Arabidopsis thaliana: one gene and its partners. The protein of the gene in region 1 purifies or fractionates together with the protein of each later gene. This does not show direct contact. Each region holds a gene or a part of one and is shown in the gene's direction. Other genes may lie near its edges. The genes, in order: PAA1, AT4G08140, CPN60B and Cpn60beta2.

Region 1 (8,123 bases):
AACTTGACAATGATCTCCCAGGCAATGATTACATGAAGTATTTTCGTCCAGATTACAAGCTTCATATATTGCCAACCAACAGGCAGAATTTAAACACACGATTAGATATTATAACAATGAGGTAACCTTTTAAAAAGGCTGATCAGTTTGGTGCCAATATAGTTGAGATGTTTACAACTTTTGCTTTCTAAACCTCTTTGTAAATCCATTATAGGGAAACTTTACTAGCGCAACTTTCTCTAGTAATGCACGCACCTAGTGTACCGTTTCAAGACACTCCATCAAGCAGTCAAGCCACTGAAGCGGTAAAATCTTTATTCATTCGTTCATTACTACTTTATCTTTCTCATTACTGGATATGTTTTAATTTGTCCAATGAGGTTATTAAGATTCGCATGACATATCTTTAGGCGGAAGTGGACATGGAGAAGAGAAATGATCCACGCATTTGAGTGCAATCCAAGTTATGAACCAGACTCTAACAACGATTAGCATTTTCTTGGATAAGGCAAATGGTAAAGTAGTGTCATAGGAGAAGGATTCTTCATATTCAAATTTCACCTTTTTCTGAGTTTGTTCTTAGAGCATGTACAGAAAAGAACGATTGATGTATAAAATCAACATTGTAGAGATACTACAATAACATTCAAATATTATAGAAAGCAACAGATTTTTGTTGACAAAAGTCTCCACAAATTACATATAAGGCACATTCTGCAACAATTCAATGTAAGAAAGAGAGAACAAATGCATGGTAAGTTACAACTAATGATATCTATATCTATATGCAGCCTGTTCAACTAGGAAAAATCAACAATTACACACATGGAATTTTTCATTGTGATAAGAAATCAGATTCTTTAGTCCCTTAGTCAATAAAATAATCACGAACCAGCAAAGTATATGACTCAACAACAAGAGTCCTGATATTGCATATCCCAAGACCATAAACTCATCACATAATATATGCTAATTATTACCGAAAAATGAGCTTCTTAATGCCTAAAATTCTGATTTGAACTTGGCTCGTACGCTCATAATTTAAAGCTCAGCCAAGAACATCATGATAGCCAACAGAGATGCATACACTTTCTTGAATTAAAATCCCAGATCACAATGAAGTAAAGTTATCTAAGTAAAATTTAATTATTTTCAAAAAAAAACAATATTCATGGCTTTTGTTCATCATTCCTTTCTTGAATCAAAAGGTTATATATTTGATGAGAGTAAAGAACAGAATAATGATACAATATACATTCTCTTATATAGAGATGAGATTTCCTAATCAAAGATAAAACCTAAATGTAAATCATATATATTTGATAAATGTAAATATTACTAAAACTAAGATATGATAATATTTTAGATCCTTCTGCAATCTTCATGATTTCCATATTCTTGGGCGATCATCTCAACCATCAATGATTGATTTCCAGTTTCCCCAATAAAAGTAGCTTTAATTCAAATCATAATAGGATAATCAGTTCTTAAATACTTTGGAAAAATATATGGATAAAATCAGAAAAATAAACCTCTTTCAAATAGGAATAAGAAAAAAAATAGGAATTAATCATTTTGATTTTCTAGTTGATGTATTGATCATATAGTTGAGTATTCTTATAATGTAAATTAGCCGATCAAGATTTAAATATACTTTTTAAACGTTTCTTTTTAAGCTGATTAGGTTTTAGAAATTCTAGGGGAATTAGTTTCATGAGTTTTTATAATTTTGTTTTGCAAATATTGTTCAAAAATCAAAAATCATTAAAAATCTGAAAACATATTTATGGCCTAAAGGCTAAAAGTTGGATATAATTTATTTATTTTCGGTTGGATATATTTTGCTTAGTTTTATCCCGTGTGTATTTTTTCCTTATTTATATATAGTAAACGAGAACGTAGACAGAACAGAGTTGGGATGGAGACAAAGAAGAGAAGAAGAAGAAGAAGGAGATGATTTTCTTAACAGATGATCTATGGGCAATTATACTTGCGAGATTACCACTAACAATCATCACCACTTCAAAACTAGTTTGCAAGCAATGAAATCGCTCATAGAATCTCCCTTTTTCCGCAAACTTTTCAACACCCACCATCAAAACTCTCATTCTTCATGGTCAATCCTCTGTAGAGTCCTACCTGAAGAAGTCGTGGCTCACTACGAAAGCGAGACTTGGGGTCTTTCACGATCTCTAGGTTCTTACATTTCTTCTTTCATAACCCACAAATTCAATACTCAATTCCCATACGTTACACTCGTCGTGGCTTACACTCATGTTGGATTGATTTTGATCAGTTCTTGCAACAAATTACTAACTTACTATGTGGCTAATCCGATCTCAAGACAATGTGTCGATAATATATCACTAAAATTTTCTTCAAAAGTTTCTCTAAACTGTATTACAATGTTTTCACAAACTTTCATCGATACCTAAATAGTTTATATCTTTATTTTCATAAAAATTTGTGATTAAAAATAAAATTCGTTAGAAATTAGAAATTTTATTAATCTTTGTAATAAGAAAGTAAACTTATAACAATTTTAAAGTATCTTTTTAATATTTTCCATTTTAATTTTAGTTAAATACATATTTTTCTTCCTATATGATTGATTGCATCTTAAATCGCATATCTTAAAGTGGCAGAAGAGTAAATAAAGTGGTCATCAAAGGGCAAAATAGTAAAAACACCACCTCGACTCTTTTTTTCTTCTGTCTTGGACATAAAGCTTGATTCAATTCCATTCCTTATTGTTATATACACATCTCTGATTCAACTCCACCGAATTCAGAAGATCGAAGAAGATGAGTAGAGGAAGCGGCGCTGGTTATGATCGTCACATCACTATCTTCTCACCGGAAGGTCGTCTCTTTCAAGTTGGTCAGTACTCTCCGATTCCCACTCTCAATTCCTTTTCGAGCTCTGAAAACTGAATACACACTTTTGCTTTTGTAGAATATGCCTTCAAGGCCGTGAAAACAGCTGGTATTACTTCAATCGGAGTTCGTGGGAAAGATTCGGTTTGCGTCGTTACCCAGAAGAAAGTTCCTGTGAGTGAATCTCTCTTTTCATTGTCTCTCGTTTTTTTTAGGGTTTGCAAAAAAGTTGCGTCTTTTATTGAACCATTGTATGGATTTAGGTTTCTAGTAGATTGAGGATTGTTGGTGTATCTTACCCATTAGGGTTTTTGTTTTTGGGTTGGGACAGGACAAGCTTTTGGATCAGTCTAGTGTTACACATCTGTTCCCTATCACCAAGTACATTGGATTGGTAGCTACTGGCATTACAGGTTCGTTTCATGACCCTTTTATCTCCTCTTAAGCTGTAGAATTTATTGCTATGGATGGTAATTTGAACATGTGAATTTCGTTTTCAGCTGATGCAAGGTCTTTGGTTCAACAAGCAAGGAATCAAGCAGCTGAATTTCGGTTCACTTATGGATATGAGATGCCTGTTGACATTCTTGCTAAATGGTATCGTTGCTAATCGACTTGGTGTCTCTTTTTTCAGATGGTTCTTTAACTTCTTAGTGGAGGCTGGCTTATAGTTATTGATCTATCTAGCTCTTCTGTGATAAATGGTGTTGCTGATAAATAACTATTTTACTTACAGGATAGCGGACAAGTCACAGGTCTACACTCAACATGCTTACATGAGACCCCTTGGAGTTGGCAAGTTTGCTATCTTTTTCTTTTCTTAAGACCAATCTAGACATTAGTGCCTACTTGTGTTTGATGCGTATTATATCACCTTCACGTTTTGATGAATATTATTGGCTGACAAAAGGAATTTTCTTGTTGTCTCTCTTTATGAAGTCGCTATGGTAATGGGTGTTGATGAAGAGAATGGTCCCTTACTTTACAAATGTGACCCAGCTGGACATTTTTACGGTCACAAGGTATTATCTATCACTCGTAGCTTATACTTTAACTAAACTTGTCTTCTAATACTTACTGTTTTGATTGCTTTTGCTGGCCTGCATCAAGATTTATTGATAACATATCTGAATAATATCGTCTTACAAGCATATTGACATACACTACACACTATTTACTGCTTGTCACTAACATAGAAGAAAATGCCTCAGTCTATAAGTCATTGTGATAAGCATAAACGAAAAAAGTATAATATGACTATAGGAGTGAGTTAGTCATAATTGCGGAGAGTTTTGGTCATTTGGGTTGTTTGTGGTAAGCCTTTCAGACTTTGGGATAGGTTTGGGTACTCTATAAGATAGCATAACTCTCACTTTAGTTCTTTGTATCCGGTTGCTCCTGGGTTCATTAGTTTACTTGTTTTCATTTGTAGATTTACAGAGAAGAATAAAGGAAACTTTTTCAATCCTGTCTTTCTCATTTCGCTGATCTTAACACTTTTTAGGAATCTTATGTATAAAGGTTTTTAAGCATCGTGCTCATTTCTACTTTTAGTAACTGATTGATCCTAGGTTGAAACAAAACACGTTTTGTGTATCTATTCAATGACATGACTACATACAGGTTACACATGAGTCTTCTGGACTATATGACCAAGATCTCTAGAGGATAGGATATACAAAAAAATTATTCTCTCTCTCAAAAGTCGTAGATATTTCATGTTAATTGAAAAGCAGCTAATAGACAAGCAACTGTATTCGTGCAGGCAACTAGTGCTGGTATGAAGGAACAAGAAGCAGTCAATTTCTTGGAGAAGAAAATGAAAGAAAACCCATCTTTCACATTTGATGAAACCGTGCAGGTAAATTATTTGCATTATCTTTCATATTTTCCCTGCTTATGTTCGAATACGGTAACATATGTTCATTTAGCTGCTGATTACTTGTGCTGTTACTTTGTAGATACAAATCTATTAATATTCTTGATGAAGTACCAAATGCACATTGTTCCTCACGTTGATATTTTTATACGTTTGTAGACTGCCATATCGGCTTTGCAATCTGTTCTTCAAGAAGACTTCAAGGCTACTGAGATTGAGGTATACAAAACTCTTCTCGTATATGATGGCAAGTTTATTGTATCATTTGTGGGTTATATATCTTATCAAACCGTTTGGTGAAATGATAGGTAGGTGTGGTGAGAGCAGAGAACCCGGAATTCCGTGCATTGACAACGGAGGAGATTGAGGAGCATTTGACAGCCATTAGTGAACGAGACTGATCAACTTAGTGAAACAAGTGTGAGTTACGTTGCTTCGCTTCTATCAGACATTCCTCTAAAGTGACCACTCTCCATCGATCTTTTGTTTGGTCTTCCTTCCATAATTTAATTTACTTAGTCAACCCAGCAAACTTGAAAAACAAAAATGCACTGTAATGCTTAAGGCTGTGAGAGTTTCCGAGTCTTTTGACTCTTCAGAAATGACACCAACTTTACTCATATCATCACTTTCTAGCTTTTTATTTCTATCGTTGCAGTTGCTGTGTCTTCGTCTTCACCAGTTCTTAAACTCGAATTCGTTTTAAGGTTTCAGTTGTTAGAAAGTGAGGGATCATTCTTACCTTTCAACAAAAAAGGTTTAGGTTATGGATTCCAATTTTTTAGGATCAGTCAAAAATTTTAGGATCAGTCAAATTTTTTTTACATCGGCATAATGCTTAGGGCTGGGCATAAAATCCAAAAATTGATCAAAAATCCGGCTCCGAAACCAAACCGAACCGAATAGTCACAAAATCCGAATACATAATGGATATTCCTATCTGAATTATCCGAAACAAATCCGATCCGAACCAAAAATTGAACGGATATCCGCTAATCCTAAATAAAATTATATATCTAAAAATATTAGTTATAATTTATATCCAAAAAATACTAAATAGCAAAAATATCCGAAATAACTTTACTGTCCGATTTTTTTACTTTTATTTGTTAAAATTATACAATGTTTTGCAAAATTAAACCAAATTTTAGTAAAATTAAACGATTTTTATTAAAATTGTACAATTTTTTAATTTGTTTTTTTTTTAAATCAAAAACTGATCCGAAACCGTTCCGAATCTAACACCATCCGAACCGAAACCGAATTCGAATAATCATATAATCCGAACGGATAATAAACTCCCTCATCCTAATTATCCGAATCTAAAATAACCCGAACCAAATCCGCTCCAAAATCCGAAATTTTCATTATTAATGCTTGCAACACCCAAAATCACTCCTAGATAAACTTACTTGAGCCTAGTTGAAGGCCTATAGGCTATATGAGATGATCATTTTGCCCTGTGGCCTCTTAAACTTTAATGTCAATTATTTACAAAAGGAAAGTAAAGTGATCCTGAAAACTATCAATTAAAAAGTGAAGTATGTGTACATCATATAGGTTCGTGTCAAGCATTACAGACATAATGATTGTAAGTTTAGATAGTACTTTATCAAACTCCAGCTGTTAGAGACGTGGATGACTTAAAAAACATATAGACGAGTGATCTATAACGCGTCTTTCTATAACACCAAATGTATTTTTTTCTTTTCTTTAGGACCAAAAGTTATTACAACTTGATTAGAAAAACAACAATATGTTTAACACTTTTGCTTTCTTTGATTGAAGAATCAAACAAGGAAAAAAAAATCAACTTTACCTCTAACCAAAACCTATTCTAGGTATAGAAAGCAAAACCTAAACTAGATTTTTTTTGTTTTTTTGGTGGTAAGAATGTATTACTATTTACATCTTATGTAAAAAAAATGAAAAGATTACGAATTGAGGATAGAAGAGAACTCAGTAGTCAGTACCGTTCCCCTCCGGCCTCGTTACGCATTGGTGAATTATATCCGTTTCTCAAAGTTATCCGGTGGTTTCTTGCCGTGTGTGCGGGCGACCGGAACTTTTGATGGTTATCAGTCGTGGAAACGTTGCGAGGCTTGTCGAAGTTTTGAAGACTTGTCTCTTTAACTTCACGGCGTGTTTTGTCGAAGTTTTGAAGACTTGTCTCTTTAACTTCACGGCGTGTTTTGTCGAAGTTTTGAAGACTTGTATCTTTAACTTCACGGCGTGTTTTGTCGAAGTTTTGAAGACTTGTCACTTTAGTTTCACGGCGTGGCTTGTCAAAGTTTTGAAGACTTGTCTCTTTAACTTCCCGGCGTGGCTTGGTAGGAACGGTGTAAGTGAATATCCCAATGGGAATATCATCTTTGTAATCTTTGATGTCTTGGAGAACGGAGACAACAGTGCTAATGTCTGGCCTTGTCTTTGGTCGGTACCTTAGGCATTGATAAGCTAGAGTTGCTGCCTTTCGTGCTCCGGTCTCTGAGTACTGATCTTCAAGCCTCGGGTCCATTATTCTCCCGAGTTTACGTGCGTCGTTGAGCATTGGACGAGCCCACTCAACGAGGGTTTCTTTTCTTGATGATCTCGCTATGTCCACCGATTTCCGACCTGTCAACAGCTCAAGCAACACCACTCCAAAGCTGTACACATCACTCTTAGCCGTTAAATGACCTGTCATTATGTACTCTGGCGCCGCGTACCCTTGTGTGCCCATCACGCGAGTCGACACATGTGTATCATCGCCTTGTGGTCCGTCTTTTGCTAGCCCGAAGTCCGAGAGTTTCGCTGTATAATCCTGAAAAAAGAAATCAAAACATCAAAAGTCTATTCAAATCCAAAAGCAATTATAATTTTGAATGGTGACCATGGATGTAATTTGCGGTTCCACCATAATTTGAATAGAAAGAAACAAATATGTCCATTTTAGGTTATTGTCCGCTCTAAAACTAAAATGGTCTAGTTTGGTGTAACCCTTAAGATCAAAAAAGAAGAATGCTTGCTTACAGAATCTAACAAGATATTAGAGGCCTTGAAATCGCGATAGATGATGGGCTTCTCGGCTTCATGTAGAAACTGTAGACCCTTTGCAGCTTCATAAGCGATGTTCAACCTCGTTGTCCATGGCAGCGGTAGGGAGCACCCTGAAACAATTTCATCAGTTCTGGTTCTTAAAATGAAATGATCATTTCTATTTGATGGTTACAATAAAAAAAAGTCAACTCACTTCTGAAGAGTTGAGACTCCAAACTTCCACGAGGCATGAACTCATAAACAAGAAGTCTATGTGCTTCCTCGCAGCAATATCCGATCAGCTTCACCAGATTCGGATGCTTTAGTTTTCCCAAACACATAACCTCCGT
Region 2 (6,024 bases), on another chromosome or scaffold:
TGATCCAACCAATCCATTCCCAGAATAACATCATACAACTCTACAGGGCTGATAATCAAATCTGCTGGCATTGACTCCCCTACAATCTGAATATCCACACCCTTCGCTCTCCCCAGAACCGCTAGAAACTGCCCTCCAGCAACCTTGACGGCTCCAAGCTGCTCACCAGGATCCCCACGGATGTTGCCGCGCGAGGCACTCTCCGGGGTAATGAAAAAATACGATGCTCCAGAGTCAAACAACACATGGGCCTCTACACCGCCCACTAATAAGGTCCCTACACAAACCTCATGTGCTAAGAACCCTAACATTCATCACAAAATAATGATATCCAAAACAACAGAAATATTTCACAAAGTCTGAGTCTCAGAAATCATACCAGTAATCGCTCTGTTGCTAGTACCGCCTATCTCACGCATAGTGTAACCCTGCGGTGCCGCTGCAATATGTGCCAACTGCTGCACTCCCTGCTGCACCTGCGCTCCGTGCTGCACCGCCGGCTGTACCACTGCCACTGCCATCCGCTGCACCTTAGGACAATTCGGCATGAGATGTCCCCTCTCCCTGCAGTGGTAGCACTCCCTCGTCTCAGCTCGCTGCGTGCAATCCACCACCTTGTGGTCAAGGCTCCCACAAGAAAAACATCCTGCACGACCACCCTGTCCAGCTCTGGAAGGATGATCCCACTTCCTCTTCTGCCCCTGCGCAGGCTTGCTGCCCTTGCTAGGTGCCACCTGCTGCTGAGTCTTCTTCGGTTGTACCGCTGGACTCACTCCCCCCTCCTACCTCTGAAGGTCCTCCTTCACCCTGTATCAGCTCAAGAAAATGCGCCTCCATACGGTCGAGCGCCTCCTGCGGAAAGTACTTGGCATTAAACTAAGCCACGAAATCTGCCCAAGACATATCCGCCTGCCTCCTCCTGGCAGTCACACTCCGCCACCACAAATGTGCATCCCCCTCTAGAAAATGCACTGCTAGATCTACCCGATACTCCGCCGAGCATCTGCTTGAACCGAAGTTCCGCTCAACCCGCGACCTCCAATTGTCGGCCTCCTCAGGACTAGTACCACCAGAAAAATAACCGGTGCCAATCCTCTGCAACTGCTCCATCATCCCCAAATAAGATGGAACCTTCTCAGCAACCGCAGCCCGCTGCTGCACCTCCGCCGCTCGTGGCGCAACTGGAGCCTCCACTGGTACCAAACCTGGTAACCGCTCCAACAACTGCCTCACAAGGCCCGCCAAACCAACCTTTGGAACCTGGGCTCCTCCGGCTGCGGCACACATCACTCCTGGGCCCTCAGCACCAACGGCATGCACACCGGTACCGACACCACCAGCCCCCACTCCGGTTGCACCAGCTATATCGGCACCAAGACCGTTCCTAACCCCGGGCTCCACAAACTCAGGTTGCGAACCCACTCTGCTCAACTGTGGCACTGTGGCCATCACTCTCGCCGGTACCCTCGAGGACTCGTCCCCTACCGCGACCACGACCGCGACCACGACCACGAACTCCAGCTCCTCTAACCATCTGCGCTACTCAAAAACAAATGGCTAAGAAACTAAAACAAACGAATATATCACAAACAACTTACCGTGGAATCTCATTTAAGGCTTGGAGAAGATGATGCTAGAACTCCAACAACACACAATTGACTAAACACTCCATAATCAATCCTCAATATGCTAACACCCTAGCTCATCCCACATCAATCAACAGGAAAATAATTCATCAATTAATTTTTCTACACATCTTAGAACCGTAATCGCTCTGATACCAAATTGAAACAACCCGACCCATTTTTTTTAAAAAAAATAATTAAATATTTCCATAAATATCTAATTAAACCAACCAATAGAATAACAATTAAACCACAAGTCAAAAATACTATTTAATGAATAAATAAATAATTCGACCAACAAAACCAAGAATAACTAACAATCCTAACCGGGTTCCAATAACCAAAAACACCAAAAATAAAACAAACGAGTTCCTAGATCATCCTCTCTTCCTTGCCATGATTCCACGATCACACTTTATCTTTACCTGTATCAACAACACAATGAGATGCGTAAGTATTATCATAAATACTTAGTGAGGCGATCCTCCCATCTACGAGCTATACACACAAGCAAATAAAAAGGTATAATCACGAATACAATACAAACAAACCAGTCATTGAACAATTCATCCAAAACACATTCACCACACCTACATATCATCACACAAAACAAATCACACAACCCTATCGCTCAGATAAGCTCATGGTCACGCACTCACCTTAACAAATTGATTCTAATAGCAATTAAACCCAGGAGAGACTCTCCTTGCGTCTGAAACAGTCCAGAAACGTCCTACAAAAAGTCCACAACCAAAAGCAACCTTGAAGCAAACTGGACAGGAAAAACCAGAAACAAGCAGTCTCAAAGACGAAACCCTCAAATACAAACTAACCGTTAACTATTCAATCTCTCCGGTGAAATCCTAGCTGCAGACGTCACAAAGCTGACCACAAAATCTCGTGCCGATCGGAAAACAGACGAGACCACGATCTCAGTTTCAATCTCCGCTGGTCCTAATTCGCGTCTGAGAAAACGTGTCTCACGAAACTGCGAATAACTCAACCAATTTGAATCCAAATCCAATTCTGTAAATTGGAGAATAACGATAAAGGACTTGGGAATAACTCTGCCAAATTTCGTTACCTTTTACCACGATTTGATATGACGAAACTGATTTCTCCCAAACCCTAACGATTCTGCTCGTTCTCCTTTTCTCTCTTTTTCTCCTTTATAAAACGAAAAGTGGCTAACCAAAGCCCTAATTTCGAGTTTACTTCTTTTATAGGCATACTCTAAGGTTTCCAATTAACCCAATCAATTAAACCGGATGATTTAAAAACAAACTCTAACTGATTTTCCGGTTCACGGGCGTTACAAAGAGGAAGTTAGAATGATGAAGATGGAAATGAACAAAGAGAGGATGGAAAAGAACAAAGAGAGAAGAAATGAAGATGATAATCGTTTTTTCCTATGGTTGTTCAATCACCATGGCAATTGGAATGTTGTGTCTATAGTAGAAAAAAACTTATTTATCGGTTTTAATTTGGTTTATTTTTGTAATAAATCTTTTCATCTTTGATTCGATATGATGAATCTAATTATGAAGACTAAGTGGGTTCGTATTCTTTTCTTATTACGAGAACATATCAATTACAGTATTGTACGTGGTTTTACAAAGCATAAGGAGATATACAAAAACAAAACAATAAGCATGTTCAAAGTGAATGTTTTGTTCGTCATTAGTATAGCCGGATTAAAAAGTTGCTAACTTGTGCTGTGAGGAGAGTTTTTTTTTTTATATATGTTCACAGGACTAATGACTCGACTTACATTGGGTTGTGATTGTAGTCTTAAGAGGATTTGGAACTAAAGCAGAACCTTAAGCTCTATGTTGAGATGGTTCAGGATCCTAATCCGGACTTGCAGAAGGCTGCTCTTGAGAGTATGAGGTAATTCTTGACTTGATTAGCTTCGGGTTTTCAGATTACTGTCTTTGAAGCTCATAATTTATAAAGTTTTTCTTTCTTTTCTGCTCCTTGTGTTCTACCCTTGTTGGAGTTTTTAATTTTTTTTTGGTTTTGTAGGCAGGAAATCCGAGCTTTAACAAGTTCAATGACTTCAGTTCCCAAACCACTAAAGTTTCTGCGTCCCCAGTATGTAACTCTTAAAGCGTTTCATGAAACAATGGCTGATTCTAATCTCAAGGTATGTCATCATTGATTTCAAGTTATTAACAATTCTTATATTGGTATGGCTTAAAAATTACATTTGCTATGTTTGCAGAAGTACATTTCTGATATCCTGTCTGTCCTGGCCCTTACCACGCTCTACAGATTGCACTATTTCTTGATAACACGAAGGTAGAACTGAGCCTTCTTTAATTCATCTAGTAGTTGTTGTCTGAGTTTGATTTGTTGATTTTGCTTTTGATATGTGATTATTTGATGTCTGCTTTTGATTAGTTGATGTCTGCTTTTGATTATTTGATGTCCGGTTTTGATTATTTGTTGTCTGCTTTTGATTAGTTTATTTGTTTCTCTGTTTAAATGCAATATATTTTTGAGTTGAGATAGCATTACATTAATATTTTAAATGCTTAGAAGAAAGTATTTGTTCTCTATGGTTAAATAAAATTCTAACACCTTTGATCAAAAAAAAAAAAAAAAAAAAAAAAATTCTAACACCTAATACTAACTTGAAGCTTTTAAAAGCTCTCTCTTAGTTATTGCGCTCAAAATTTCTCTGAATTGGTCTAAGCAATAAAAGCTAACTGTTTTTTAACTGTGATAAATGCATGTTAACTAGTGTATTTTGGAGTGGTTTACATTGGGTAAAAGTATTATCATAGTTATGGTCTATTTTATTGAATGCTTGGTAGGTTAAGTGTAAGTAAAAGCTCTATGTGATTTATTGCTCTCTGTGATCAATATCAAAGAGCTTTAACTTAACACCCTACCCTAACTTGAAGCTTCTAAAACCGCATCTATTTAACAACATAACTTCAAGCTGAAAAACACAGTTTAAATCACATAACTTCAAGCTGAAAAATCTTTCTCTTATCTTTTTAACAACCAAACCAAACAAGGTTATGGATTCCTTTAAATCTTTCCCTAATCATCTTTCAAGAGAATCAAACCATTCCACCAATTCAGTTTGAACGTTTTCCACCTAACATAGAACTTGGATCATCTGATGTCCATGTGTTTAGTACATTGGTTTGATGATCAAGAGAAAGATGAAGCGCCAATTGCAGAGAGGAAATCAAGACGCAAATGGTCTCTAATAGAAGATTTGGTCCTGATAACTAGCTGGCTGAACACGTCCAAGGATCATGTTGTTTCCAACGGGCAAAAGTCTAGAACCTTCTGGCAACGCATAACTGATTATTTTGCTACAAGTCAGAAGCTCAAAGGTTTTTGAAAAAGAAGCACATTATGCTGTAAACAGAAATTTGCAAAAATAAATGAGGGTGTGAACAAGTATGTGGGAAGCTTTATGCCTGCAACCAAACACCAAACAAGTGGCCAAAATGATGATGATTTGGTGAACTTGGCTCATCAGATTTTCTACGAGGACTATGGCGCCAATTTCACCCTTGAACATGCTTGGAGTGCGGTTCGCTATGAGCAGAACTGGTTAAGTGAGTTTCCTACAACAGGAACAGCAAAGAGAAGAAAGTGCAAAGAACAACAAAGAGAAGAAAGTGTCTGTGTTCCAGCTGGCATTGAAGAGAACCAAAGCCAAAGCAAAATTCGTTCCCCTGGAGTTAAGGCAGCTAATACCAAATTCCAAGCCAAGCCGAGTAGTGCGTCTGGTGACAATCTGAAAGAGTTACAACTTATTTGGGATATTAAGGAGAAAGATTTGGCGGCGAGAGAGAAGCTAATTAACAAAGAAGAGAAGAGAAGAGAATATTGGTCTGACTAAATTGCTTGAACAAATCTTTGCCAAAACTGAGCCTCTAACTGACATAGAGATAACTCTTAAGAACAAGCTAATCTCTGATCTATTGAATTAAGTTATTAATGTGTTCAGTTTATGTAATGTGGTTTGTAATGTGTTCCGTTTCATGCTCTTTGTTTGTTTTAAGTAGTTGTGTTTGTTTTGTTTCAGTTTATGTGTTTGTAATGTTGAATTTCAGTTTCAGTTTAGTTAGTATTAATGAATGTTGGCTTATATTGTTTGTGTTTGCGGTTACATGAGTTTGCAGCAAAGTCCATGTGGTTTGTAATGTATTCAATTTCATGCTCTTGTGTTTGTTTTAAGTATTTGTGTTTGTTTTGTTTCGGTTTATGTGTTTGTAATGTTGAATTTCATTTTCAATTTAACTAGTATTAATGAATGTTGGCTTATATTGTTTGTGTTTGCAGGTGGTGGACAAGGCTTCTTACCGACATCAATTGACTAGGTGGTGGACAAAGCTTCTTATCGACATCAATTAACTCGTTTTGTGTTTTG
Region 3 (9,284 bases), on another chromosome or scaffold:
TCATTTACCCTCATACTTTAAATGATGTAGTAAAACCTGTATAAATTAATATGGTTGTTAACATATATAAACTCATTGTTCATATTTTAAGAAATTATGCATATAGATTCAACGATTTCCTAGTTTCCGTCCATACCCTCCTAGCTCCGTGACTCAAGCTCCGATACTCCTGTCACTGTGGATCCGACACGAATCGATATCTTTCTCTTGCAAGTTGCAACTAACTCATTTTATGCGAGTTTCACACAAAAATTAATGGTCTAACTACAAAGGTTTATAGAGTATTAACAAAAACATAACATTTTAATTGGATGTGTTATCCTTGTCCAATCAGCCTTTTAGGTTTTGAAAACTTGGAAACAGAGGAGAAATGGAGAAGGAAAGAAGATACTAAATTTTCAGATTGAAAGCAAAATCTAGAAGAAATTAAGAAAAGACTCAACAGAGTCATGTCCGAACCAGAAACCAAAGAAAAATGAAAATCTGTCTAAGCTAAAACGAAAACAAACCCAACCCTGATTTTATCTTTCACTACTTCTTCATCTTCCCACCGTATGCAGGGATCTTTATACGCATTTTACATGGTAGAATCAACAGTTCCTGGTTTCTCATCATTGGTTTTTCCTTCCCAGACCTGTTAAAGATATATGGGTGCATTTCAATACTAGAGAGTAGAGAGGACAAATGTAAATGCATCTGCTTATATCTATGGAATTAACCGTTTTCTTCTCTTGCCTGCTTCTGGGATTGTTGCTGCTTAGCTTTCTTCTCCAAAATAGTCTTTTGTCGAGCCTCGTAGAACGAGAAATCATCCAAAATGCATGTCTTGCTGTTATGCTCCTTGAAAATCTTTACAACCTTCAAACCCTGCTCCAACTTAACCTACATACATGATCACATGGAAAGAGTTTGAACATTGAAAAGTGGAAAATATTGCTGGTAGATCAGAAACATATAGATCGAGAAGATATAAACACTTACCTCTTGTGTGTCTCTACTGTTAGTAACAGGTTTATTCTCATTGTACTCTAGAGTAATATGCTTAAGCAAACTGTTGGGAACATCCTTCAGAATATGCCACTTGAGGGGAAATGAGCCAGTCCATTTATCCTGTTGCCAGTACTCAATATTTTTGTTGAAATCAACTGGTCCTTTCATTTCCGCAAGGCCAATAAATTGTCCACTCGCGTTGACCTGGAGACAATTGGGGTATATACTCAGCATCGGGAAACAAAACGAATACACAATATGAAATAAACTAAGAATTAGGTACAAACCGAGAAGAAGAGAAACACAGGGCAGCCACTAGATTTCTGCTGAGCCTCTTGATATGCAGCATCAAGCTTCTTGTTTCCATTTGGGGTGCTAGCCCATACATTATATTTGATGCTCTTATGCACATCATCTTCACTGTACGACTTGATGATAAAGAACTTAGCATCTTTATACTCAACTGGAAAATCGTCTCTGTTGCACTCTTCTCTATCTGGAAGAACGCATGTTACAGTCTCCTCAGTATTTGATTCATCAAACGTCTGCTTTTTCACCTCCTCTGAGCTAACCTCTTCTGTGGCCTTCGTGCCCTTGGCTCTAGGGCCCCTGTTTAGTTCATTCAAGCCATCAATGTTCTCATTTCCATAGAAGTAACTGTTACCCCTTCCCCGGCTTCTATATTTGTTGTCTGTATTGAGCCATCCTCTTTCATTTGTTCTTGAACCATATCCAGAAGAACCATAACCCATACCAGACCTCACCGTGCTACCATACTGACCATATGACTTGTTTGGAGACACTCTGTCGTAGTAACCCTGAGCTGCATAACCTGTCATGGATGCAGGCTGGTACATACTCTGCCAAGAATAGAATGAGGCTATCAGATACAGGGATTCAGATAGAGAAGAAGACTTATCATACAAAACTGACTTCCATATCATACCGTGTAATGCGAATTGGAGCTAGAGTTTTGATTCCTAGTCGCAGGTACATTGTTGTTAGCCTTAGAATATGAGGATGCAACTCCACTGCCAGAAACAGACCTCTGCACATCTGAGAAGTTAGAGCCATCGTGCCATGACACAGGAGTGTAAAACCCATCATAGCTATACCTGGGGTCCTGATAACCAGCAGCAAGACCACCTCCAAGAGCACTGTTTCCATACAGTGCACTCTGATTCAATGGTTTAACAGGAGCTGATCCATTCATTCCTTTAGGGATACCAGCAGATGCAGAGTTGGCTGCTTTGTTTGTAGAGAGCTTGCTCTGAGTAGAGGCAGGAACAGACGAAGCGAAAGGCCCACTACTGGCTGTGAGAGGAAAAGGATACTGGTACTGCTGAGCACCATACAACTGTCCATCACCACCAAGTTGTGGAGCAGGGCTTGTTGCTGGTGAGTAAGGAAAGGCAGCATACCCGTATCCCTGCGGATAAACAAGAGATGCATTCTCTCCGTAAGCTCCCTGGAGTGATTACCAAATGACTAAGTAGGGCAAAAGGTAAAAGAGAGGCTAAATAGTCTGGACACGAGTTGCTTATAAGAAAATATTAACGCACGTACTGATGTCATATCAACACTCTCGGAATTGGTATAACCTGTGTAGTCACTCCCATAACCTGAAAGATTATACAAACGGTTGTGTTATAGATATTACAATAATTCTAGACAGTAGAAGGCTGAAGATATATAAATGAAACTTAATTATCACCATAATAGTAGGGCTGCTGATACACATTAGGAACATAGAAAACAGAAGGATCCAAGGCATCACTGGGTAGCATAGGTGACAAAGATCGATCAAAAGAAGGAACTTGACCATTCGAATCCATAGCTCCATACTGGTAAACACCCGTCTGCAAAGATAATGATGCTATGAGAACTCTGCTTGGAGTAACAAAATGTGCAGAGACATTAAAAGATGTAACTTTACCTTCTTAGTAGGCTCAGGGATCTCCAAAGTCCTAGACTTTGAATCTAAAGACAGTTTCTTCAATACATCAGCAGCTTCTGAAAAAACAATGTAAGTGAAGGAAACAAATAGGTTTCTATCTTCAGCAAGACTAAAAAATTGATTTTTCTAATCAATTTATTCACTTTGCTAGCTACAGGAACAGTCAAATTCATCGAGCTAAAACAAACAGAACAAATGGAAATGACATCATTTCACTATATGAATCGAATTACGATGAAGCAACTAGATTCATGAACGTAGATCACAAAAGAAATGAAGGAGAAAAGAAACAAAGGCAAAGGATACGATCAGCAGGAGGAGCAACAGTAGACATGAGAACAGAGTTGGCAGCGAAGACTGATAATAGATCCTTGTCGGATATTGAACAATAAGAGTTTGAGACAAACACAAATATCAGAGCAAAAAAGAACTCAGAAGGAATCTAGGGTTTAAGAGATTGAATCGTAGCCGCAAGAGAAGAGAGAAGAAGAGGAAGAGGCAAAAGTGGTTTTGTTCGTTCACCTCGATTTGATTCAAATACCTCCAAGATCCCTTTTTTATATTTTTCTATTATTTTTGTTTACCTTTTTCTCCATCGTTTTTTTTTTAAAATACTTCCTTTATTCCAGCCACATTAATATTATACTAGTCACTACGAAATATCTCACAAAATAATACTATAAATATTATTTCCTCGAAAATTTCGCAATTAATCGGGAAAAAATCAATTTTTAAAATAAATATCACTGATTCCAATTCCATTGTTAGGAATTAAGGAGCAAGAATAAAGGCCCAAATAGGCCCAATATAAATCTGATCCAGGATCCGAAGAGTTGAATCCAACGGCCAAGATTAACTCAAAGCTTGAAAGAGGTAAGGGAACGTTAAAAGCACCTTCCAAGCGAGAGTAAGGAGATAAACCTACTTCCTTTCCTTGCTTCAGCTCCCCTTTTCTTATCCGGAAACCAAAAACTTCCGGTGATAAAACCTCCTTCGTCATCTCTCTACTTCTGTTAGTTTCTTAATCCTTACTCTTGGAATAGTTTATCCTCTGCATTTTTTAGTGCCACAGTTTATGTGTGTATGTTTTGTTTGGATAAGAATTTGTTGTAAGCTTTTGAAAACTTGTATTAGTTCATTACTTCCATGATTTTGGGTGTTTTGTAATAAAATTTATGGATTAGTGTTTCTTCAGATTGTCAATTGTGTTCTTATTGAGCTCTGCTTTCGAAGGTGTCGCCTTTCTTCTGGTTTGTTGTGAAAATTTATTACTTTAGCTTACTGGGTTGTTGTTTCTTTCTGTTATATTGATTGTGTTAACCGTATATAGATGAAAAGAAGAGTCTTTTTTATATCTTTGAAATCTTATCTAAGTGCTGAATTTTGTCTGTCTTTGAAGTGGATAAAATGGCGTCAACTTTCACTGCCACATCTTCTATTGGTTCAATGGTTGCTCCGAATGGTCACAAATCTGATAAGAAACTTATCAGCAAGTTGTCTTCAAGCTCATTTGGAAGGAGACAAAGTGTGTGTCCTAGACCCAGAAGATCCAGTTCTGCAATTGTGTGCGCAGCAAAGGAATTACATTTCAACAAAGATGGGACTACCATTAGGAGACTTCAAGTAAGTATCTTTTTTAAAAAAAGTTAATGGAAACTTCATTCCCAAACCGGAGCTAAAGGTTTACATTTTCTGTGGTTTCTAATTTTGTGTTGTACTAGGCTGGTGTCAACAAGCTCGCAGATCTTGTTGGTGTTACACTTGGACCCAAAGGACGAAATGTTGTTCTTGAGAGCAAGTATGGATCACCACGAATTGTTAATGATGGTGTGACTGTTGCAAGAGAGGTATGGAATTATTACCCCTCTGATAATGATTTTTGTTCTCATTCAACTGAGTCTTAGAGTTTCAAACTTTCTCCTGTAGGTTGAGTTGGAAGACCCGGTTGAGAACATTGGCGCTAAGCTTGTGAGGCAAGCGGCTGCCAAAACCAATGACTTGGCTGGTGACGGTACAACAACATCTGTTGTTCTTGCACAAGGTTTTATCGCTGAGGGTGTCAAGGTCTGTGTAACATTCTTCTTTCAGCTTTCTCTATGTGAAACTTCAAAAACTTTTGTACTAATTTTAAGATTATCTTATTCAGGTGGTAGCTGCTGGTGCAAACCCTGTTTTGATCACCAGAGGTATTGAGAAGACAGCAAAGGCTTTGGTTACCGAGCTCAAGAAAATGTCTAAGGAGGTTTCAAATTTATAGAACTCTCTTTCTTTTAATATGTTAAGAGTCTTTTTCAAAAGGTTCTGAATGTAAGTCATGTCGATGTAGGTTGAAGACAGTGAACTTGCAGATGTTGCAGCTGTTAGTGCGGGTAACAACGACGAAATTGGAAATATGATTGCTGAAGCAATGAGCAAAGTGGGCAGGAAAGGTGTGGTGACCCTTGAGGAGGGTAAAAGTGCCGAGAACAACCTCTACGTCGTAGAAGGAATGCAATTTGACCGTGGTTATATCTCTCCTTACTTTGTGACAGACAGCGAGAAAATGTCCGTCGAGTTCGACAATTGCAAGGTAGATGTTTCTTGAATCTGAGTAGAAGATGAATTTTGTTGGCAGACTATTTAGCCACTAAAGATATTTATATATGAGTATAACAACGATCTTTAATGTTTTGGTATGATTGCAGTTACTTCTCGTTGACAAGAAAATTACCAATGCAAGGGATCTTGTTGGTGTTTTGGAGGATGCAATTAGAGGCGGATACCCAATATTAATTATTGCTGAAGACATTGAACAAGAAGCTTTAGCGACTCTTGTTGTAAACAAGCTTAGAGGTACACTGAAGATAGCAGCTCTCAGAGCTCCAGGGTTTGGAGAGCGCAAGAGCCAATACCTTGATGATATTGCCATTCTAACTGGAGGTAAGTTCTGTCTGCATTGATGAGCCCTATGTTTACGCATATATTTGTAGTTTTTATCTTGTCCTAATTTTCTATCTTCGCTTGCAGCAACTGTGATCCGTGAGGAAGTTGGTCTTTCACTTGACAAAGCTGGAAAAGAGGTTCTTGGTAATGCTTCAAAGGTTGTCCTCACAAAGGAGACCTCGACCATAGTGGGTGATGGAAGCACACAGGATGCAGTGAAAAAGCGTGTTACACAGATTAAAAATCTTATTGAGGTATAGTAAAAGAGTATAGCATATATGGGACCTCTTTTACTTTTTGTGGATAGTGTAGTTACATTGCAATGGTAATTGGTTTGTGCAGCAAGCGGAGCAAGATTACGAGAAGGAGAAACTCAATGAGAGAATTGCAAAGCTCTCTGGTGGAGTTGCTGTGATTCAGGTAAACTAAAAACTATTTAAGTTTCCTTTGTCTGATTAAGATGTGTTTCAGAGATATTAAGTTAAGCTCGTTATGTATTGGTTAAAGGTTGGAGCACAAACTGAGACAGAACTCAAAGAGAAGAAGTTGAGAGTTGAAGATGCTCTTAATGCAACAAAGGTGATTTTGTATTTCTGAGGCTTGAGAAGCGTGTTATTTGCATACTCGTGAACTATAACTAATCAGGATTTTAATTCTTCAGGCCGCTGTCGAGGAAGGTATTGTTGTTGGTGGTGGTTGCACTCTGCTTCGTCTTGCTTCCAAGGTTGATGCCATTAAAGCCACGCTTGATAATGATGAAGAAAAGGTAAATCAATCAAGTCTTCAGATTTTAACTCATGAACCTTCGGTTTCTCTAACTTTGCTGATGATTCCCTTTAGGTTGGAGCGGATATAGTTAAAAGAGCACTAAGTTACCCCCTAAAACTAATCGCCAAGAATGCTGGTGTTAATGGAAGTGTAGTTAGCGAGAAGGTAATAACAACAGATAACATAATTCCCACTTTTTTATCTCTAGATTTCAAGTCAGATGCTTGAAGAGATGTCTCTATTCATTGGCAGGTGCTTTCCAACGATAACGTGAAATTCGGTTACAATGCTGCAACCGGCAAGTACGAGGATTTGATGGCTGCAGGAATCATCGATCCAACAAAGGTAAGTTTTCTGTGCATATACAGAAACTGTCTTTGCTAGCTAAATTGGTCATCAAAGATCCATGAACCTGAGTGGCTTTATCTTGATTTTAGGTTGTGAGATGTTGCTTGGAACACGCAGCTTCGGTTGCAAAGACTTTCTTGATGTCGGACTGCGTTGTTGTTGAGATCAAGGAACCTGAACCAGTTCCCGTCGGCAACCCAATGGACAACTCAGGTTTGTTCAGAATTTCAAATACTTGAGTCTTTGGTAAAGATCCCCCGCATTCAATATTCATGTTTCATTGCTGAATCTTGTTGGCCTCTCTTATTTCAGGATATGGATACTAAGAGGAGATAGGCTAATATTGAAACGGATTACTTTAGCTTGCGAGTGTAATGATTTTGAACAAGAGAATGTGTAATGTGAAACTGAAATTTTGAATTAATCATCATATGAATAAATCATGATTCCCTCAATGCTTCGAAATATCTCGAAATCGCCAAATATGAAACTTTTGATCCAAAGATTTGAAGATTTATTATCACTTCATATGAAATGGTATACGTAAACTGAATGAAATGGTTAAAAGAATTTCTTAAGAAAAAAAGAACACATTTATGATCGAATAAAATTCCTCACAAGTATGTATAGAGCCAAGAAGAGAAGAGAAGCTATGAACAGATCACATCAAAAGACACAAACTTTAGGTGAACTATTTCTTGTTAAAGCCAAACAAGGATTTGATGGCGTTAATGGCACTCTCATTGATGAAAGATTCGTCGAATTGCTTCAGAAGTGGATCGAAATCCTTCGACTTCCTGAGAGTTTCCAGATCTGGATCACTTCTGATTCTCTGCAAACAAAACAAATAACACAGCTTCAACAAACAAGTCCATCCTTCTCTCTGTCTCAATTGAAACATTACAACTCCTTGGACTTACCTTAAAATCTTCATATCCTGACTTCAATGCTTCTTCCAGAGCCGAGAGACCAGCTTGAACCTATCAAAATAACTCTATCAACACTGCAAGTCAAAATGCAATATCTGAAAAGATTCAAAAGCTTTTTACCTGATTAAGCTTTGAGTAGCAACAAGCAACATTGTAACTTGCAACTGATGCTTCTTCTGGTGTTGGTTTAGAACCTAACACCGACTCAAACCTCTCCAATGCTTCCTCATACTTACCATTCCTATATCAAATTACACACATGTCAATGCTCACTTTCCGGTTTCCATAAACCCCTTTGGTATACTCACTAAGTATTTACTTGGAAAATTGCAGCCCTTCACGAAGATCCTTCTCCCGTTGAGCTTTCTGTTCTTTCTTCTTCAAATAGTTTTGCATCTACAATTATAAAAACAAAAACAAAGCTCACTCACAAGCCAAAGTTCATTACTTTTGATGTCACATAATCAAAACTTTTGAGCTCACCTGAATCTCTCTCAATCTACTGCTAATGTATCCGGCATTTCTCTCAGCTCTTATGATCTCCTTCTCTGTTAACTCACCAGTATCTTCAGCCTTACCTGCAAGAGAAGAAGACACAACACATTTTAAACATAACCAAACCCAATAATGAGTTTTGCAGAGAGAATAGATAAAATAAAACAGAGCTAGAATATGGGAAATTCAACAAACCATTTCTCTTCTCCATTTGCATAAGCAAGGGACCAATTCTCTGACGAATTGTGTACATTGTCCTACCGTACTCAGCTGCAGGCCAAATCTCTGTTCCAAATACTGCACTGCATTCTCAATTTTCAAAGTTCCAAGTCAAAACTTTCACAGTCTCTCAAGCTAATCACATTGGAACATGAAGGAGAAAGAACAAACCTTGTGGCAATAACTCTATCGCCAACAGTGAACTTTCCGGTTTTGTCAGCTGATCCACCTGGTAAGATAGCATCAATGTAAGTGCCACCATCTCTTCCTTTCCTGAATTTCAAACCATAAGGCTGCTCCACTTCAATTTCATATGTTTCATACTTCTCTTCTTCTTCTCCGTCTCCTCCTGCTTCAGCTTTAGCTGAAGACTCTGTCTCCGACGCCTTCAAAGCTAAATTCCGGCGTTTGGCAACATGGGTATTGCATAAAGAAGCCGAATTGCTCGAAAGGAAGAGACTTTTGGCGGAAATGAAACTGGATTGAGTGATCAAACTAGGGTTTTGCTTGGTTTGCTGGGTTCTTGGCAGTGAAGGCGAAGAATACAGAGATGGATAACTGCTCGGAGCTAAAGACATGGTGAGATTCTTTTTCTTTAAGTTCGAGCTCAGACACAAGCCAGAGCCAGAGAGACAGATGATGATTAGTTGGATTTT
Region 4 (9,000 bases), on another chromosome or scaffold:
GTATTTGTTGTCTGTGGCCGCCCATCCTCTTCCATTTGTTCTTGAATCATACCCAGATGAACCATAACCCAAAGCAGATCTCCCTGTGCTACCATACTGACCATATAACTTGTTCTGATACATCCTGTTGTAGTACCCCTGAGCTGTACCATAGCCAGTCACTGATGAAGGCTGGTGCACGCTCTGCAAAGAAAAAAGTTGATTGAAGGTCAGTTAACAAATTTGGAAGACTTGAGCGGCTATATATATATGCCAGTAAAGCAGACAATGGTGTTCATTAGCAAAAAGAAGTTTGGAAAGACATCATACCGTGTAGTGAGAATTTGAGCGGTAGTTTTGATTCCTCGATGAAGGTACTGTGCTAGACTTAGAATAGGAGGATGCAACTCCACTACCAGAAACAGGTCTCTGCACATCAGAGTACTTAGAGCCATCGTGCCACGGCACAGGAGCATAATACCCTTCATAGGCATACCTGGGGTCCTGATAACCAGCAGCCAAACCTCCTCCTGGAGCACCCATACCATACAAATTACTTGAGGTGTTAAGGGTAGCCTGGTTAGTTGGTTTCACTGGAGCTGATCCATTACTTCCTTTTGTGATACCAGCAGCAGAAGCAACATTATTGCTATCCGCAGGTAGTGTCTTCACACCAGCAGGTTTGTTTGCAGAGAGATCCGGCTGGGTAGGTGTAGCCACAGATGAAGCATACGGTCCACTGTTTGGAAAATAGTTAGGATACTGATACTGCTGAGCACCGTACAACTGCCCTTCCCCGCCAAGCTGTGGAGCAGGGCTAGTTGCTGGCGAGTAAGGATACGCTGCATACCCATAACCCTGAGGATACACAACAGTCCCATTCTCTCCATAAATTCCCTGGTAAAATATTGAACCTGTTAAGCAAAGAAAATATAAAGACGATGAAAGGCACTATTATAACTAGTCAGCACACACTTACAGAATTCATGTCAACACCCTCAGGATTTGTGTAAGCTGGGTAGTCAGTCCACTCTTGACCACTCCCATATACTGAAAAGTTACAAAACGAAAAACTTGTTAAACCAGTGGTGACAATTTAGTGAAATAATGTTTCTAGATTGTAAATGATTTGAGGATGAAGCTACCATTGTAATACTGGTAGGGATTGTAAGGATTAGGAACATAGCAAACTGAAGGGTCAGCAGCATCACTGGGAAGCATTGGTGTCAAAGATCGATCATAAGAAGGAACTTGACCATGAACATCAACGCCTCCATACTGGTAGACGGCAGTCTACACAAGACACAAAACAAAAGCGTTAAAAAAAACTGGAAGAAGCAAAAGTTGTGACAACAGAAAACCAAAATTCAATCTGCAAATCACCTTCTTGTTAGGCTCAGGGATCTCTGAAGCTTTTGCTGGCGAGTCCAAGGATAGTTTCTGCAACAGATCTGTAGCTTCTACAAACAAGGTGAGTCAAGGAAGCAAAGAATTACACAATTAACCATTAGAATAGTGGAAAGCAAACATTCTCAAATCAATCAAACTCGCCACAAATGAATCGATTTGAATCAATATAGAAACCTAACAATCGAGAAATATATTGAGAAACCCGAAACTGAATCTAGGCAATATCAAATATATCTGAACAAGACTCAAAATCAGCTCACTGGATTCAAGATCCAACAGATTCAAGATCGAGAAATCAAAACACAGATCGAGAAACATAAAGAAAGGATACGATCAGCAGGAGGAGCAACGGTAGCCATGAGAGGAGATTCGACAAACAAAGATTTGGATAGATCCTTCTCGGATAAAAGGGGATGCGACCAAAGAGAAAGAAGAAGAAGAAGAAAAAAAAGAAGATAGAGAAACCCTAAATGGAATCAGGAAAAACCCAGATCAAATCTAGGGTTTAAGAGATAGAATAGAAGAGAGAAAGAAGAAAAAAATGGCCGCAGCCGCCAAGAAGGAGAAGGGTTTTGCTTCGGGGAAGAGGAAAAAAAGGGTTTTGTCTCTCTACCTCTCCCTCTGATTCAAATAGATCCACTAATCAACCACCTCACCTTCTCTCTTTTTTTTTTCTTTCTTTTTTTTTTTTTTTCTTCCACCTTAAGATATTTCCTCTTTTGTTTTAAAAGAAGACTATAGACCGTGTGGTTTTGGTTATTTTTCCTGCAAAATCTGGATAATATACTTTTCCATTTTCTTAAAATTGGTAATCTTGTAATAAAATAGATATAAATCTCAATTCTGTTACCAAAATATAATTCAAAAGTAAATTTGGTCAAATTTAAAAGCAAAAGAGGGCATGCTTTCTATTATAGGTGTGTTTCTTCTATAAATTTACCCCAATATACATTGAAATATCTTTAAAAATATATATTAAACTTTTTTGTTTTGAGCAACTATTTAAAAACTAAAAGCAAATCATTAAGATAAAACCAAAGAAAGTAAAATCTATTTTTCAGAGAAACTTACCAAAACTAGCTATTCAAGAAAATATACTTTACCTTTAGGATAAAAGGAAGTAAATTACCTTAGCTTAAAAAAGCTATTATTAAATAAAAACATTTTAAGATCGAGAGTATGTAATGGGCCTATTTGATTAAAGATTCATAAACAGGCCCAAATCACCAAACAAGGCCACCGGAAATAAACCCATGATCCGATTACCCATCCGACGTTCTAGAGAGTTCTAATGAGAAAACAATGAAGAGTACATCCAACGGCTAAGATTAGCTCGAAGTTTCAAGAGCTAAAGGCTCATATCGCCTTTATATTCAAAGAAAAAATTATCAGTAGCAAGTGCATTCTTCATTTCGTCATTGGAGAAACCTACTTCTTCCTCCTTATCCGGAATAAACCTCTTCGGCGCCATCTCTCTCCTCACCTCCGTCGTTCCACCGTCCGGTGAGTGTCACTTTTCCCATCAATTGAGCTCACAATGTTGGCGCCTATGTAATTGTGTGTGTCGATTGATTGTTTTGTTAGAATTGGAATTAACAAGTATTACTAGTAGCTGAGAAAAAGTATGTTACCTTGTTTTCGTGTTCCCGGAGATTTGTGGCTATTGGTGTAGTTGTGGTTTTGAGTATTTGGGGATTGAGCTCTGATTTTGAAATTCATCTGTTTTTTGTTTTTTGTTGCCAGTTTTAATTGGTTAGTACTTTTGGTGAATCTTTCGTTTTATGTGAACTGTTGGATTGATTTTCAGTGTTTGAGAAGTGAAAATGGCATCGACATTCACTGCCACGTCTTCCCTTGGTTCGTTGCTTGCTCCCAATGCTATCAAGTTGTCTTCTGCGACTAGCATCTCTTCAAGCTCGTTTGGAAGGAGACATAACGTGTGCGTCAGAAGATCCCGTCCTGCCATAGTATGTGCAGCCAAGGAGTTGCATTTCAATAAGGATGGGACTACCATAAGGAAACTTCAGGTGAGAATTAATGAATTGATTTTCTGGAGTAATGATTAGGATTCGTTTTATTTTTGGTTTCTGATTACTCGTTTGTTATTAGACTGGTGTTAACAAGCTCGCGGACCTTGTTGGTGTCACACTTGGACCAAAAGGGAGAAATGTTGTTCTTGAGAGCAAGTATGGATCCCCAAGAATTGTTAATGATGGTGTCACTGTTGCGAGGGAGGTATGAAATTTATTGTCTGTTTAACCAATTATGTTCCTTTCGTTTTTAATTACTTCTCTAAGCTTAAGGTTTTCTTCTGCTTAGGTCGAGTTGGAGGACCCGGTTGAGAACATTGGTGCAAAGCTTGTAAGGCAAGCAGCTGCAAAGACCAATGACTTGGCTGGTGACGGTACAACAACATCTGTTGTTCTTGCACAAGGTTTTATTGCTGAGGGTGTCAAGGTTGTTACATTCTTCTTTCAGCTTTCTCTGATTTTATACTCAGAAGAACAGTATATTAATCTGAAATTTTGTATTTTTCAGGTGGTGGCTGCAGGTGCGAACCCTGTATTGATCACTAGGGGGATTGAGAAGACTGCAAAGGCTTTGGTTAACGAGCTGAAACTTATGTCTAAGGAGGTAAGTAACTATTATGCTAAAACTTCCTTCTTCTTAATTTTTCGAGAGTCTATAGCAAGATGGTCTAAAGGTTATGTCATTGGAAATATAGGTTGAAGACAGTGAACTTGCTGATGTGGCAGCTGTTAGTGCGGGTAATAACCACGAAGTTGGAAGTATGATTGCTGAAGCAATGAGCAAAGTGGGCAGGAAGGGTGTGGTGACCCTGGAGGAGGGAAAAAGCGCTGAGAACAACCTTTATGTTGTGGAAGGAATGCAATTTGACCGTGGTTATATCTCCCCATACTTTGTGACAGACAGTGAGAAAATGTCTGTTGAGTATGACAATTGCAAGGTAATTTTTCTTTATTCTGAGCTACCAAAATGATATTGTGATGCAAATAGCCTAACAAGTTTCTACTGTGCAGTTGCTTCTTGTTGACAAGAAAGTAACCAATGCAAGGGATCTTGTTGGGGTTCTAGAGGATGCGATTAGAGGCGGATACCCAATCCTCATAATTGCAGAAGATATTGAACAAGAAGCCTTAGCTACTCTTGTTGTTAACAAGCTTAGAGGCACACTGAAGATTGCAGCTCTCAAAGCTCCTGGATTTGGAGAGCGCAAGAGCCAATACCTTGACGATATTGCCATTCTAACTGGAGGTAGGTCATGTTTTTATAACAAAAAACCTATATGTGGGTATCAATCAATGTGCCCTCCTGATTTGGAATCATTTGGCTGTTAAAACCTTACCGTGTTGCTTCTGTTTTTGTGTGCAGCAACTGTGATCAGAGAGGAAGTTGGTCTTTCTCTTGACAAAGCTGGAAAAGAGGTTCTGGGTAACGCTTCCAAGGTTGTCCTGACAAAGGAAATGACAACAATTGTGGGTGATGGGACCACACAAGAAGCAGTGAACAAGCGTGTTGTACAGATTAGGAATCTTATTGAGGTATATGTTTGAGTCAAACCGCATAAGAGTCTGTGACAGCTACTTTTTTTTGTATAAAGTTTGTTTATGCTAATACAACTGCGGTTGTGCAGCAAGCGGAGCAAGACTACGAGAAGGAAAAATTAAATGAGAGAATTGCGAAGCTCTCTGGTGGAGTTGCTGTAATTCAGGTAAAATAGTAATCACATGGACTTTCTTGGATTTGTATGATAGAAGAATAAGTTAAGTGATCTAATTAAAGTTTTTACATCTTGGTTAAAGGTTGGAGCTCAAACTGAGACAGAGCTCAAAGAAAAGAAGCTGAGAGTGGAAGATGCTCTTAATGCTACAAAGGTGATTTTCTTTATCCAGCTGATGGGGTTATAGGTATCGTGCTACTCATGTATATCTTAATTATATGACCTCATTGAGTTTCAGGCTGCTGTTGAGGAAGGTATTGTCGTTGGTGGTGGTTGCACTCTGCTCCGGCTTGCATCAAAGGTCGATGCCATCAAGGATACCCTTGAAAATGATGAAGAAAAGGTGATTGGCAAAATCAAGAATTTTGAAATTTTTTGCAAATTGCTTGCTCTTACTGCATTTTCAACTATTTCCCATCTCTAGGTTGGAGCGGAAATTGTTAAAAGAGCACTGAGTTACCCTCTGAAATTGATAGCTAAGAATGCTGGTGTTAATGGAAGTGTTGTCAGCGAGAAGGTTATAACAACATAAGAACATCCATGCTTATTCAGCTCTTGATCTACGTAAGTTGCTTAAAAAGCTGTATTTATTTATTGCAGGTGCTGGCTAACGATAATGTGAAATTTGGATACAATGCTGCAACCGGCAAGTATGAAGACCTGATGGCTGCAGGCATCATCGACCCGACAAAGGTCAGTTTCTCACATACACTCCCTCACTCTGTTTTGCTATCCCATCTGATCGCAAAATATCCAATGAACCTGAGTGGATTTTTGTTTTCAGGTTGTGAGATGTTGCTTAGAACATGCCGCCTCAGTTGCAAAGACGTTCTTGATGTCTGACTGTGTGGTTGTTGAGATCCCAGAGCCAGAGCCAGTTCCTGCTGGTAACCCAATGGACAACTCAGGTTAGTCCAGACCTTCTGATTCATAAAAACTGGACAGTGACATCAAAACAAAACTCATGTTTCTTCATCACTGAATCTTTCTCGATTGTCTTGTTTCAGGTTATGGATACTAAGATAGACCGACCAGGTTTGCTCGTAAAGCTGAGAGATAGGCAAAATTCCGAAGCGAGAGTAGCTCACTGGGATACGGATTCCTTTAGCTTGCAAACAAATTTTCTGTGCAAGTGTAGTGATTTTTGAACCAGAGAATAATGTGTTCACTAGATATCATATTTGAAATCATTTTGAATAACTTGTCAGTGATCTTCAAAATCTTGAGTGCTCTTAATAACACCATCTTATATACATGCTAAAGCTGAGGGAACTTAGATAGAATGCAAAAAGTGTACTTTAAATTTAAAAGCTTCTTGAATCTGACTAAGAAAGAACTTCATTAACTGGTTAAGTAAACAAGTGTAATATAAAGCAATTCTTTTAACAACTCTAAAACCGTAAACACTGAATCGACAATCGACATATAACCTCAGGTGAGCAAAAGTGGATTCTACTATATGTACCTCAATGTAGATGGATTCTAAATCCAAAGCCACAAGCTGAACAGAGCCAATTCTCAAGCAAGCTTCTTCACCCTTCACCATTGCCATATCTTCCGGTAAAACTAAGCCGAGTTGATCACAGAATAACACAAACACAGCTTTGATCGCCATCATATCTAACATCTTCTTCTTCACTGCAAATATAACAGGGATTCAGACAAATGTCAATCAACTAATTCTCAAAGTTAGCATCTTTTGAAGCCTGAATTGATCAAAGATTCAAACTTCATACCAAGAAACCTAAGAAAAACAAAGATTCAAACTTCATAGAAGACAGTACCTAGACTCGAATTCTCGGATCTCAGCAAGTTCTTTCCCCATCAAATCCACCCACTGTACTTTCTTCTTCTCCTTTCTCCCACCATCTGCTGAATCTAAGACCTCCTTCTTGAGACTGCTTTTCAAGATTTCCCCATTACTAAGACTTTCTTCTTCTTCCTTTTTTCCCTCTAGAGCACAATCTTCTTCTCTAACAACCTCAGTCAACAAACCATCAACATGATCAACAACAACTTCTTCTTCTTCTACATGTGCATCATCATCATCATTGTCATCATGGTCACGATCATCAACAACCGTAGTCGAAGAAGACACTTGAGGAAAAGTATTCTCCAATTTGAGAGAACCAGAAGCGTAGATATGAGGAGAAGGCTTACAGAAACAGATGAAAGAAGGGCACTGGATCTTACACAGCAAAACCCTCATCAAAACATATGTTGGGTCTTTAAAACACCCGATCATCAAATTCCAAACTTTCCCTCTTTTCTCTTTATAAAGTTACAACCTTTTCATGCCCATTGAGATGCCCAGATTGGACTCAAAAAGCTTCGAGGATTTCAATCTCTGGATTTCTGAAACAAAAAAAAAAAAAAAAAAAAAGAGCAACAAAAGGTTTTCGAGGAAGAGTTAATAACCACAATATATAATATCACACTTCAATAGAATCCAAAGACCATAAATTAAGCGTTGATCAGATGAGGAAGCAGACAAAAGTACAGGGACCACGCAATGCTAATATTACTAATTGAGAAAGAACAGATTCCACAATTGAGAACAATCAGCCATGGCCATTAAAGAAAAAAAAAAGAGGAAATTGAGAGAAAGGCATTTACTTTTTTATGAATTTGTGTTGTGTGAGAGACAAAAGAGTGACTGACCAAGTTTTTAAGAATTTATGAAAAAGTGTTTGCTTCTTTTTCTCTGAGAAGAAGATAAAGTAGTTAGTCTTCGAATTTTGCTTTTTCAATGCCTTTAAAGGTGAAGTCTTTTTTTAACTAATTAGATTAACTGTTCCCTCGCTTAATCTTATATATTGGATTCTGTTTGTTGTTAGGATATCATATATATTTATTTTCTAATATTTTTTATCTGTTAGATAATTATTGAGAAGATTATGTGTTTTGTTAAAAAAAATTAGTTACGTATATAGTTAATTATATATTTTTTTAAATATTACTATGCTGCAGAATTTTTAAGTTCATAATTGTAATTAAATTATATTACTTTTATGTCTACCACTAACACATGCTTTCAAGTTTAAACTTGGTTATGACAGTACTGAGATCACCAGTACAAACCATTAACTTATAAATTTTGTTTGAAAATCATCTACTTATAGGATTAAACTTATACATTTATTTAGATATGAACTGTGTGTAGAGAACTTATATGTATCAGCAATAATCTTGCAAATCTTAATATTTAATTGGACAAATCTAAATGATTAATGTTAATGGAATAAGTCACACGAAGTTTCCACGTGAATGAAAGTATTTATCAAAAATTAATAATTTCTATATATTTTGTATCGTTGACAAATCCAGATATGATCTAATACTGTAATTTTTTTTATGAATGATGTAATCTATTAGATGCACGAAGTTTCTGCAAATCCCAAATGGATATATACACATAGGTATGTCAATTAATATAGAGAATAATGACGCGACATAGGATGCTTCTGAGTTCTGACATATTATTTCGAGATCAATCAAACTCAAAAGACATACAGCTTGTCTCACACATGTGTGAGATTTTGCTTATTATTGTGCATGCATCATCAATCATTTATAAATTGGTCGGATACATTCAACAAGTTACCTCATCGACATCTAAAGCTAAAACCCACAAACATTATTTCCACTCCAAGAAAGAGAGACTATAAATCTTTTGTATTACTTTAGTAGCAAAAGAAAAAAGAAAAAAAAAATCCTTTGTATTATAGTCCATGTTTAAAGTTTTCTACACTTTGGCGTTAGCTTGTCCTTTTCCAACTTAAAAAAGTAAACGAATATCATATCATTTTCTTAAACAACATTCGAACCATTTAATGGAAAGTAATTCTTTAAAGTTCTTTTTGTTGTTA

What was found.
Region 2: the proteins of PAA1 (region 1) and AT4G08140 fractionate together in Arabidopsis thaliana (co-fractionation; one large-scale study listed by BioGRID). This does not show direct contact.
Region 3: the proteins of PAA1 (region 1) and CPN60B fractionate together in Arabidopsis thaliana (co-fractionation; one large-scale study listed by BioGRID). This does not show direct contact.
Region 4: the proteins of PAA1 (region 1) and Cpn60beta2 fractionate together in Arabidopsis thaliana (co-fractionation; one large-scale study listed by BioGRID). This does not show direct contact.

What each region holds. Positions count from the first base shown.
Region 1 is NC_003076.8:13,762,450-13,770,572, reverse strand, and holds PAA1 (proteasome alpha subunit A1), read left to right. Parts: upstream 1-2,684; 5' UTR 2,685-2,804; coding exon 2,805-2,880; intron 2,881-2,955; coding exon 2,956-3,050; intron 3,051-3,207; coding exon 3,208-3,289; intron 3,290-3,376; coding exon 3,377-3,473; intron 3,474-3,612; coding exon 3,613-3,671; intron 3,672-3,815; coding exon 3,816-3,898; intron 3,899-4,641; coding exon 4,642-4,737; intron 4,738-4,914; coding exon 4,915-4,974; intron 4,975-5,063; coding exon 5,064-5,156; 3' UTR 5,157-5,497; downstream 5,498-8,123. Other genes in the region: HDA7 (histone deacetylase7), read left to right, coding at 1-121, 215-305, 411-452; AT5G35580 (Protein kinase superfamily protein), read right to left, coding at 6,722-7,558, 7,768-7,904, 7,988-8,123. UniProt on the Arabidopsis thaliana protein: The proteasome is a multicatalytic proteinase complex which is characterized by its ability to cleave peptides with Arg, Phe, Tyr, Leu, and Glu adjacent to the leaving group at neutral or slightly basic pH.
Region 2 is NC_003075.7:5,132,211-5,138,234, forward strand, and holds AT4G08140 (26S proteasome non-ATPase regulatory subunit-like protein), read left to right. Parts: upstream 1-3,462; coding exon 3,463-3,515; intron 3,516-3,650; coding exon 3,651-3,771; intron 3,772-3,849; coding exon 3,850-3,930; downstream 3,931-6,024.
Region 3 is NC_003070.9:20,713,744-20,723,027, reverse strand, and holds CPN60B (chaperonin 60 beta), read left to right. Parts: upstream 1-3,766; 5' UTR 3,767-3,959; exon of another isoform or gene 3,960-4,346; 5' UTR 4,347-4,354; coding exon 4,355-4,570; intron 4,571-4,668; coding exon 4,669-4,794; intron 4,795-4,873; coding exon 4,874-5,011; intron 5,012-5,093; coding exon 5,094-5,189; intron 5,190-5,273; coding exon 5,274-5,516; intron 5,517-5,631; coding exon 5,632-5,866; intron 5,867-5,953; coding exon 5,954-6,123; intron 6,124-6,211; coding exon 6,212-6,289; intron 6,290-6,376; coding exon 6,377-6,448; intron 6,449-6,530; coding exon 6,531-6,635; intron 6,636-6,709; coding exon 6,710-6,802; intron 6,803-6,889; coding exon 6,890-6,982; intron 6,983-7,074; coding exon 7,075-7,198; intron 7,199-7,297; coding exon 7,298-7,311; 3' UTR 7,312-7,465; downstream 7,466-9,284. Other genes in the region: ECT4 (evolutionarily conserved C-terminal region 4), read right to left, coding at 578-634, 736-882, 982-1,194, 1,278-1,850, 1,937-2,458, 2,557-2,612, 2,705-2,849, 2,927-3,003 and 1 more; ZKT (protein containing PDZ domain, a K-box domain, and a TPR region), read right to left, coding at 7,677-7,817, 7,906-7,965, 8,035-8,155, 8,234-8,310, 8,398-8,492, 8,605-8,711, 8,800-9,206. UniProt on the Arabidopsis thaliana protein: Binds RuBisCO small and large subunits and is implicated in the assembly of the enzyme oligomer. Involved in protein assisted folding. Required for proper plastid division.
Region 4 is NC_003074.8:4,386,473-4,395,472, forward strand, and holds Cpn60beta2 (TCP-1/cpn60 chaperonin family protein), read left to right. Parts: upstream 1-2,742; 5' UTR 2,743-2,892; intron 2,893-3,196; 5' UTR 3,197-3,212; coding exon 3,213-3,416; intron 3,417-3,498; coding exon 3,499-3,624; intron 3,625-3,708; coding exon 3,709-3,846; intron 3,847-3,927; coding exon 3,928-4,023; intron 4,024-4,114; coding exon 4,115-4,357; intron 4,358-4,430; coding exon 4,431-4,665; intron 4,666-4,782; coding exon 4,783-4,952; intron 4,953-5,044; coding exon 5,045-5,122; intron 5,123-5,213; coding exon 5,214-5,285; intron 5,286-5,369; coding exon 5,370-5,474; intron 5,475-5,555; coding exon 5,556-5,648; intron 5,649-5,731; coding exon 5,732-5,824; intron 5,825-5,915; coding exon 5,916-6,039; intron 6,040-6,138; coding exon 6,139-6,152; 3' UTR 6,153-6,543; downstream 6,544-9,000. Other genes in the region: ECT2 (evolutionarily conserved C-terminal region 2), read right to left, coding at 1-183, 310-876, 959-1,029, 1,125-1,272, 1,363-1,439, 1,721-1,748; AT3G13480 (nuclear polyadenylated RNA-binding protein), read right to left, coding at 6,712-6,769, 6,916-7,376.